Linked DNA regions of Coturnix japonica. The protein of the gene in region 2 interacts with the protein of the main gene of each other region in a pairwise test. Links are inferred from orthologs where the notes say so. Each region holds a gene or a part of one and is shown on either strand. Other genes may lie near its edges. The genes, in order: NCOA6 and ESR2.

Region 1 (3,818 bases), on a different chromosome or scaffold from region 2:
CTGTGTTACTAGTGAACTAGGGAAGCCTGTCCACAGAGTGGGTACACAGGGTCATGTGAGAATGCTCCATTCTCCCCTCTTCAGAAAAAATCTGGTAGATGAGGTCAGTGCAGCAGCTAAGTGGCAATAATGACTTGAACAGGCCCAGTTATTTTGGAGTGAATCTACTCTCAACTGCAGTGGTTTAAATCGGATGGTTTTGATATTAAAAAGAACATCCTGTTTGGACAAGTTTGGTTTCACTTTCATACAGAAGAACAATATGTAATTGAGAGAAATGGAAGAGAAGAAAAAAAAAAAACAAGTAAAACACTGGAACAAAACTGGAATGAATGTGAATGCACTAATTAGATCAGTTTTAAACAAAGAAGTAACTGCAGAAACTTGTACTTAGTGCCCCCGAGAAGAACAGGACCCAGATGCACTAAGAACAAGCCAGTCAACCATCCAGTTAACTAGAAAATGGCAATATATTTCTTTTTACAAGCATTCTGATTATGTCATTAATTATTTTAAGGACAGCTGAAAAACAAGGAAGTAAATTACCCATGTGTAGAAGGCCAGGTACATTCTCCAATATAACACTCAGTTTCTGTTCAAAGTCTCTATCCCCTATATCTCCTTTAAAAGCTACAAAGATTGTGGAATCTTCAGGAGCAACCTCCTGTTTCAGTTCGTCTTCCTCCAGTCCTGAATCCAAATCCACCTCTAAGTCTTCCATAGCCGAGGAGTACAAGGATGCACATGTATCTCCCACGTTTGGTAGGTCGTCCAAAACCATTGTGTCCAACAAAGAGAGCCAGTCAGACGTTCAGAAGATACTTTGGAGGAAAAAAATAAATTACAATGTGTAAAGACACAACCAACTGCACTCAACAACGTGCAAAGAACACTGAGAAGAAACCTACCGGGTGACCCTGTGCTAGGGCCTGCGAGACAAACAGCGCGACTCCGAGCAGTGCGGCCATCGCAGCAGCCGAGCTGTTTGTCCACCAGAACAAACAGAAGTTGGTGGTTTCTTGACAGAATCCTTCCACATGTGAGTGGAGCAGTATTCCAGCTGACCTAAATGATAGAGAAAAAGGGAAGGGTAAATAAAATCAATTACTCTCATCTCCACATCATACAGAGGACAAACAGGAATCTACAACAACCCTGCAACGCTTGGCTGCCAGGAAACTGAGAGGCACTCAGCAGCACTTTAATTGCAGGGAGGCTGGGGGGGGAACCACCAAACATAATTGTAGGGATTGCAGATGCTTCATACAACAAAGCAGTAGGAAAGCCACAGCACCAGAAGATATCCAGCACTTAATGAGAATTTTACTCATCCAGAGAGCTCCTAAGCACACAATGCTTGTTTTGTGAAAGTTTAGGTGCTCTCAGCTGCTTACGCACATTACAACTTGAAACACACTGCCTCAATGCTAGCCAACAATTTCCCCATCTTCTAGTGGAATTAAATAAATCAAGTCATGTCTGATACTTCTCGCTCCAAGAAAACACAATAAGCTGCAATTACATTAGGATGTTACCCATGCAGAGGTGCAATCCAAGACAGAAGAGCAGCATTTATTGAGATTCACACTCCTCCACTTTGCCTGCAGCCATGACAGGGCAGCAGGACCCCACAAGTCAGCCAGACCCACACAGTGGTCTCACACCCAACACTCAGCAAATATTTCTTATGCAATTCCAAGCATCCACATCAAGAGTCAATACAGAAAGGGACCGGTTCCTGCCCACCACCGTGATTAACAAATCAAACCAACAGGTGATGCTGCCAAGACCTCGTAAGTCCCAAGCTGTTGGCATTCAGCATGGCCCAACAGAAGCACTCAGTTCAGGATGCTCCAATGGGATGCAGACCAGCTTCTTGGCAGAGGTTCAAGTTCCCAACACAAATTAAAACCACAAGTTGGAGATTAAAGGTGAACTGCGGATAGCAGCTGGGAAAAAAAAAAAAAAAAAAAAGCCTTTCTTCATACAGAAAATAACCACGTTAGAAAGGCGTACACAGGAACAGCCACCTAGCCCAGCACACTCCACCCTGCTGTGGTATCAGGCCTCTGCTCCGGAACACTGCTCACGTTTGGGATTGCAAACACAGGTGGTTTTGTAATCCATGTTCTTTTGCAGTCTGCACTGAAAGTAAAAATACTTCCCATGTATTTCCACAGTGCTGTCATACGATTACATTCTCTTTTTGTTCTCTAGACTCTTTCATCCTCAGCTCTGCAGTGAAATCACAGCTCTGAGCACTCAGCAGCTGCACTGAGTCAAACTCCAGCTCCACATCACGTGTCCAGGTAACAAGGATACAACTGATAACCATCTGCAGAAAAGTTGGTTTAATTGATTTTCACATGCAAAAGAATGGTGAGTGTCCTTGGCAGGGCTGGGCTGCTTCCCCTAACCACAGGTCATGCTACATACATAATTCATTACACATACTCTGACTTCTGGAAGGAAGGAGCTTGGAGCCCAACATCAGCAATAGCCTTAGGGACAACCACACCGGGGACTGAATGAGCGCCCTGTGAAAACCAAGCTTCATCTTCTGAAAATAACAAAACAAATACCTATAAAACAGGTATAACATTATCAGGAACAGAAATATTGGATCAATACACAAGGTTTTAAATGTTCAAAATACGTACAAATACTCAGAGGGGGATGTTCTACATTCGCTGAGAAGCATGAATATTTCCTACAGCCCCAAAGACGAAGGAAACGACCTTTCCTCTGTAAATAAATAACATTGTGTTTTTATTTTGAATGTTAGTGCCCAAAGTACCTGTGGCAGCTTTAGAGTCTCCTCTCAAACATGCAGTATGGCCTGCTCCTGTGCTCATGTAGGATTTATACCAACCACGACAGGAGGAAGTGATGATTTGTGAAATGTTCCTCTTTGGGCAGAACGCGGCCTGTCTTCCATCCCCAAACCAAATGAATCCCAGCTGCATCCCTCTTGCTAACAAATTCTGTAATCCCCTGGTTATAAGGTTGACTGCCATAAATCAGAAGCCAGCCCACAAGCACAATTAACAAGGATCTTCATTCAACACTCCTCCCTTAGCCTTTCCAGCCCCTATTCTCCTTCTCCTCCCCCCCCAAAAAAAGAATAAAACCAAAACCCTTCGGGTCTAAGCACACACAGTAAAGCCCCGGTCCTGCAGCGATGCTGGTAACTTCATGTAGCTGCCAGCAGGCCAGTACTGCAGCCCTCATGAGCAAGAGTCACACTGGAATCAATGTGCAGAACTGCAGAACAGCCTGAGCTGTGGCTGCCACAGCAGGCAGCCTGGGCCTACAGCAGGAGCCCACAGCACAGATCCAGTGCCACATGATGGGACAGTGCTTAGCAATCCTAGTGGGATCCCAGAAGAGGGGATCAGAGCAGATCAGAGCCAGCCTGCAGCTGCTAGCAGGGGCAGCTGAGTGCTGGGAAATGTTGGCACCAGCCCTGCCAGGTGGAAGCAGGACAAAATGAGCTGTGCCTCGATAGTCATGTACTGAGACAAGCTCAAATGATTCAAACTTATGGTTATACCCTCCTGTTAAGCAGAGCTTGAAGCCTTTATGTCTCTTTCTTCCTATCCCACTTTCACTGTGCAAGTCAGGTAAAGCACAGCAAGGCTTTGTCCAGTAAGTGGAAAGGGCAAGAGCAGTTCCTTCACAAGCATGGAAGAACCAGAAGGACGGATGGGCTGGTGTCCTTCACGAGCAGATGCCAGAAGCTGGCACAGAGCACAGCCCTCATCCACACAGCAGCAATTATTTAAAGCTGCTGAAACCAGGAACAAGAAGGAAAAAAA
Region 2 (3,818 bases):
ATTCCTGCAATCCACAAGTCTGAATCAGGCTTACATTTTATACCTTAGTGCTGGGCAAACAATATATAAAGCCCATCCATTGCAGAAGGAATGTGGGTAATATCAAAAATAAAAATTAATGAATATTTGAACCGCAGCTGTTACCAGATGTGCTGTTTTCCATATCATCAATGGCTGAAGTTGAATAAGGAACCATATCACAGAATCACAGAATGACCCGGGTTGGAAGGGACCTCAAGGATCATGTAGTTCCAACCCCCCTGCCTGGCAGGGCCACCAAACATACACCTTTACTAGATCAGGTTGCCCAGGGCCCCGTCCAACCTGGTCTTGAACACCTCCAAGGACAGGGCATCCATATGAAGAAACACACAGTGGGTAAAACAGGATTAGCCCCTGCAACACCCTTTGCCTTCATCCACAGAAAGCTGTTGTGAACAGGAATGGAACTGTTTTGTCAGCTGATGATGCACTCATTTCTCATGGCACGTAACACTGTGCAGCATGGGACAATGCTTTTGCAAATTCAGTTCTGAGAAATTCAGCCTGTGAATCTGCTGCTCACATTGCCTTAATGAATACAAACTGAAAATAAAATGTTTTAAGAAGTAATAACAAAAAGACATAAAGGAACTAAAGAAGCTGTGATTGACTGATAGGAAAGTTCTAATGAAGTGAGTGGTACTCACCTGGTGACGGGCAGCACTGGTTCCAGCGGTCTCGCTTCACACCACGGGCTCTTAGGCTGCTCTGCATACAGAAGCGATGACTGACAGTGCAGTGTCAGAGGGGAGAGGTGGCCAGGAGCAGACCATAACAGGCTTGGGCTCGATGTTTGTCTCACAGATGCACTCTCTGAATCACCAAAATTGCTGGCTATGTTGTAATTCATCATAGCAGGACTACAGAATGCCATTGCAGAATATTCATGCCTGTTTTCCACGTAAGATGAAGGGATGTAGACTGGACTGTGTTCTGTTGTCAATGCAGATTGATTACAGCTGTAGGGAACTGGAGAGCCAATACCAGCAGGTGAGTTTTTAATTTCTGTTTTATTGCATCCAATATCCTGAAGAGGCAGCAACTGAGAAAAGTCCTTGTGAGAAGACGCACAGAGGGACATTTTGATTCAAGACCGAAGGTTGTTTAAATATTCATTCTAAGATGTTAAGGTAGGGGGAAAAAAAAAACAACCATGAATTAGAAACTAAGGAAGCTCTATCTTAAGTCTTTTCTGTAAAAGAAATGGAGGAATTCACAAAACAGAAAGCACTGAAAACATTCTGTGAAAACAGATTACATAGCAAACGTACTTAAATAGACAACATTCAAGTTTGCTACCTTTATGAAGCAGAAAATTCTCTAGAACTTCCTTAAAAATAAAGGGGACAACACTTGTTGAATCCAAACTTCATTTAAAACACAAAAAATGTATAAATTGAAGCCGAAAACAAAAATGCACGTGACAGCCAGGATCCTAAGCAAAGCAATTCACTGCAACTAGGGTAAAGCTGCTCTGTGTCAGTGGCGAGTAATTGAGGAATGAGTGTCCTGAGAAATCAATTATCTTCACCACCTCCTTCTCCCACTGCAAGTGCACTATTGAAGTATCAGCCTTCCTTCATCAACATGAGTGTGTAACTGATGTTTAGAACACAGACAGACAGAGACTTTACCTTTCAAAATCATAACCCCGCTGCACATCCCTCTCCAGTGAGGAGAAAGATGAGATGGACATCAGTAAGGAACTCTATCACTGAAAAGTACTCGGATACAGCACCTCTGAACAGAGCCATTATAAAAGTAGATGTTATGAAATGCAGATGTCACAAAGTGCAGGTATTTCTGAGCTGGCAAAGAGGAATTCAAGCAAATCCGTAAGGTCAGGAAGTTCTATATTTTCCTGGCATACTGAGCTGCCTTCACTGCTACTCTCCATCCTTCATTCCATCTGAACCAGCAATCACAGGACCTTAATATACCCACAGAAACACCATCTGCCAGATCTAGGCATACCAAATTACTTAAGGTAAATGAAAGGGGAAAAAAAAGAATAAAAAAGGAAAAGAAGAAAGAAATCACCAAAACACCTTCTAAGATGTAAACCCCATCCTGGAACCATCAGTTTTACAGCAGCATTTAAGAGTATTTAAATTTCATTCTTCATTGTGGGCTTTGCTTGTAATTCATTCAAGTTCCATTTCCCAGAAGCGATACTCCAGCATACTTTACTTTTACAGGTGGCAATAAGAGATCGACATGAAAAACCCTGGAGTAAAGAAGTCACCCACAGTTTTGCTATACCAAAAGCAACCAAAGTATGGATGCTAAATATTCTTACCTTTTTTCACCTCACACAACAATAAAATAAAATGGTAAAGATCCAAACGTACGTTTCCTGAAGAACCAGCTACCTCCATGTCCCAGAAATTCTCAGCTAGATGGTATTTCTAGTATGCCATCTTGGTGTACTGACATTTTTCCCACCTAGAGACAGGACTGATGGTAGAATCACCATCAAAAAAAAACCATGAGAAAATCTGTCTGAATAAAATAGTTTAGGGCTCTTCTCACTTTGCACTCTGCTGATGAAAGTGAAGATATATGGGTAAGTAACGAGGAACTCATTCAAATCATCTTAGGCACTTCAGACCCAGCTGCTGTTTATTCCTTTGTGGGAAACAGGAAAATGAATTATCTCAGCAGTGGTTTACATCCAGCCGTTGTTGCACTGGAACTCTGATGCAGCCAAAGCAGGAGAATGTGACCTCATTTTTCATACAGTCTACATGCCTTATGTGCCCTTGCCAGATGCTTCACATTTTCCCCTAAGAGCGCAAAAAGCACTGAAAATCCCACATGTTCTCTTGCTTGCATTTCATGGACAGCCCAAATAATTTTCAGGCAGCAAATGATGGAACTGAAAAATAAGGTTGTTTTCAGCAGTGGTTGCTTTCATAGTGAACACTATGAATTTGCCTGTAGAATTCAAAATGCATGTAGGTAAAGCAAAGCACCACTTGGGATCTCAGAGGTGTGCACAGACACTCCATATGAGCACCTGAATGTTGTCAGCCCTGCCCAGCAAGAGCTGACTGCACTGCTCCCCTTCAAAGGGTGCACAGCGCAGTGTAACCCCAAACCCTTACACTTCATCAGACTTCAGTATAACAACTAAACAACAGTAATGGCTTAAGATAATTAACTTGAGTGGCAGAAAATGCTTAGCCATGGTAGGTTATGGATGTACATGGAATCACATTCTTCGTATATCCTTATACTCAGGAGATTCAGAACAGAAAGCCCAAAGCCTCAGAAATAAAACAAAGCTGCAGAAAACATTCAGAACTGCACAGAAAAGTCCCTAGAATAACTGATGGTCTGTGGAGCTGTACTTCTTGAGGAAGAACTGCAGGTTCAGGTAACCAGAGCTTAAGATTCAAGTCTACAGAAGACAAACTCCGCTAACATCAGTACCTCAGAAGGAATCACTGCCACATTTAAGCTGAGGATCGCAATAAGAAGTTGCTACAGAATCATAAGTTTGTCCCATTTCAGTATGATGCCCTGCTATCATAAACACTACTAGAATTAACTACTCCATGAACCAAACTCCTGTCCCAACTTTTCTTCCTTCTCTGCATAAAGGTCTTTTAAGGTAATTTAGATCTAATCTTTCAGCAGTGCACCAGATCTGTACCAGGCCCAGAAACAAAATAGATATCCATTATTTATAGAGTACAGCCTTATCGACTGCAAGTGTTTCAGTCAAGTCAGTTTAGCTTAGAAAGGTACGAAGCAATTGAAATGCCACAAAG

Evidence for each region.
Region 1: the proteins of ESR2 (region 2) and NCOA6 interact in a two-hybrid assay, tested with the Homo sapiens proteins (3 studies listed by BioGRID). The link is inferred for Coturnix japonica from reciprocal best matches to the Homo sapiens genes ESR2 and NCOA6.

Annotation. Positions count from the first base shown.
Region 1 is NC_029535.1:424,647-428,464, reverse strand, and holds part of NCOA6 (nuclear receptor coactivator 6), read right to left. Parts: intron 2,561-3,818; exon of another isoform or gene 2,455-2,560; intron 1,066-2,454; 5' UTR 909-1,065; intron 822-908; 5' UTR 782-821; coding exon 547-781; intron 1-546. UniProt on the Homo sapiens protein: Nuclear receptor coactivator that directly binds nuclear receptors and stimulates the transcriptional activities in a hormone-dependent fashion. Coactivates expression in an agonist- and AF2-dependent manner.
Region 2 is NC_029520.1:48,211,148-48,214,965, reverse strand, and holds part of ESR2 (estrogen receptor beta), read right to left. Parts: intron 2,500-3,818; exon of another isoform or gene 2,342-2,499; intron 1,160-2,341; 5' UTR 1,124-1,159; coding exon 690-1,123; intron 5-689; coding exon 1-4.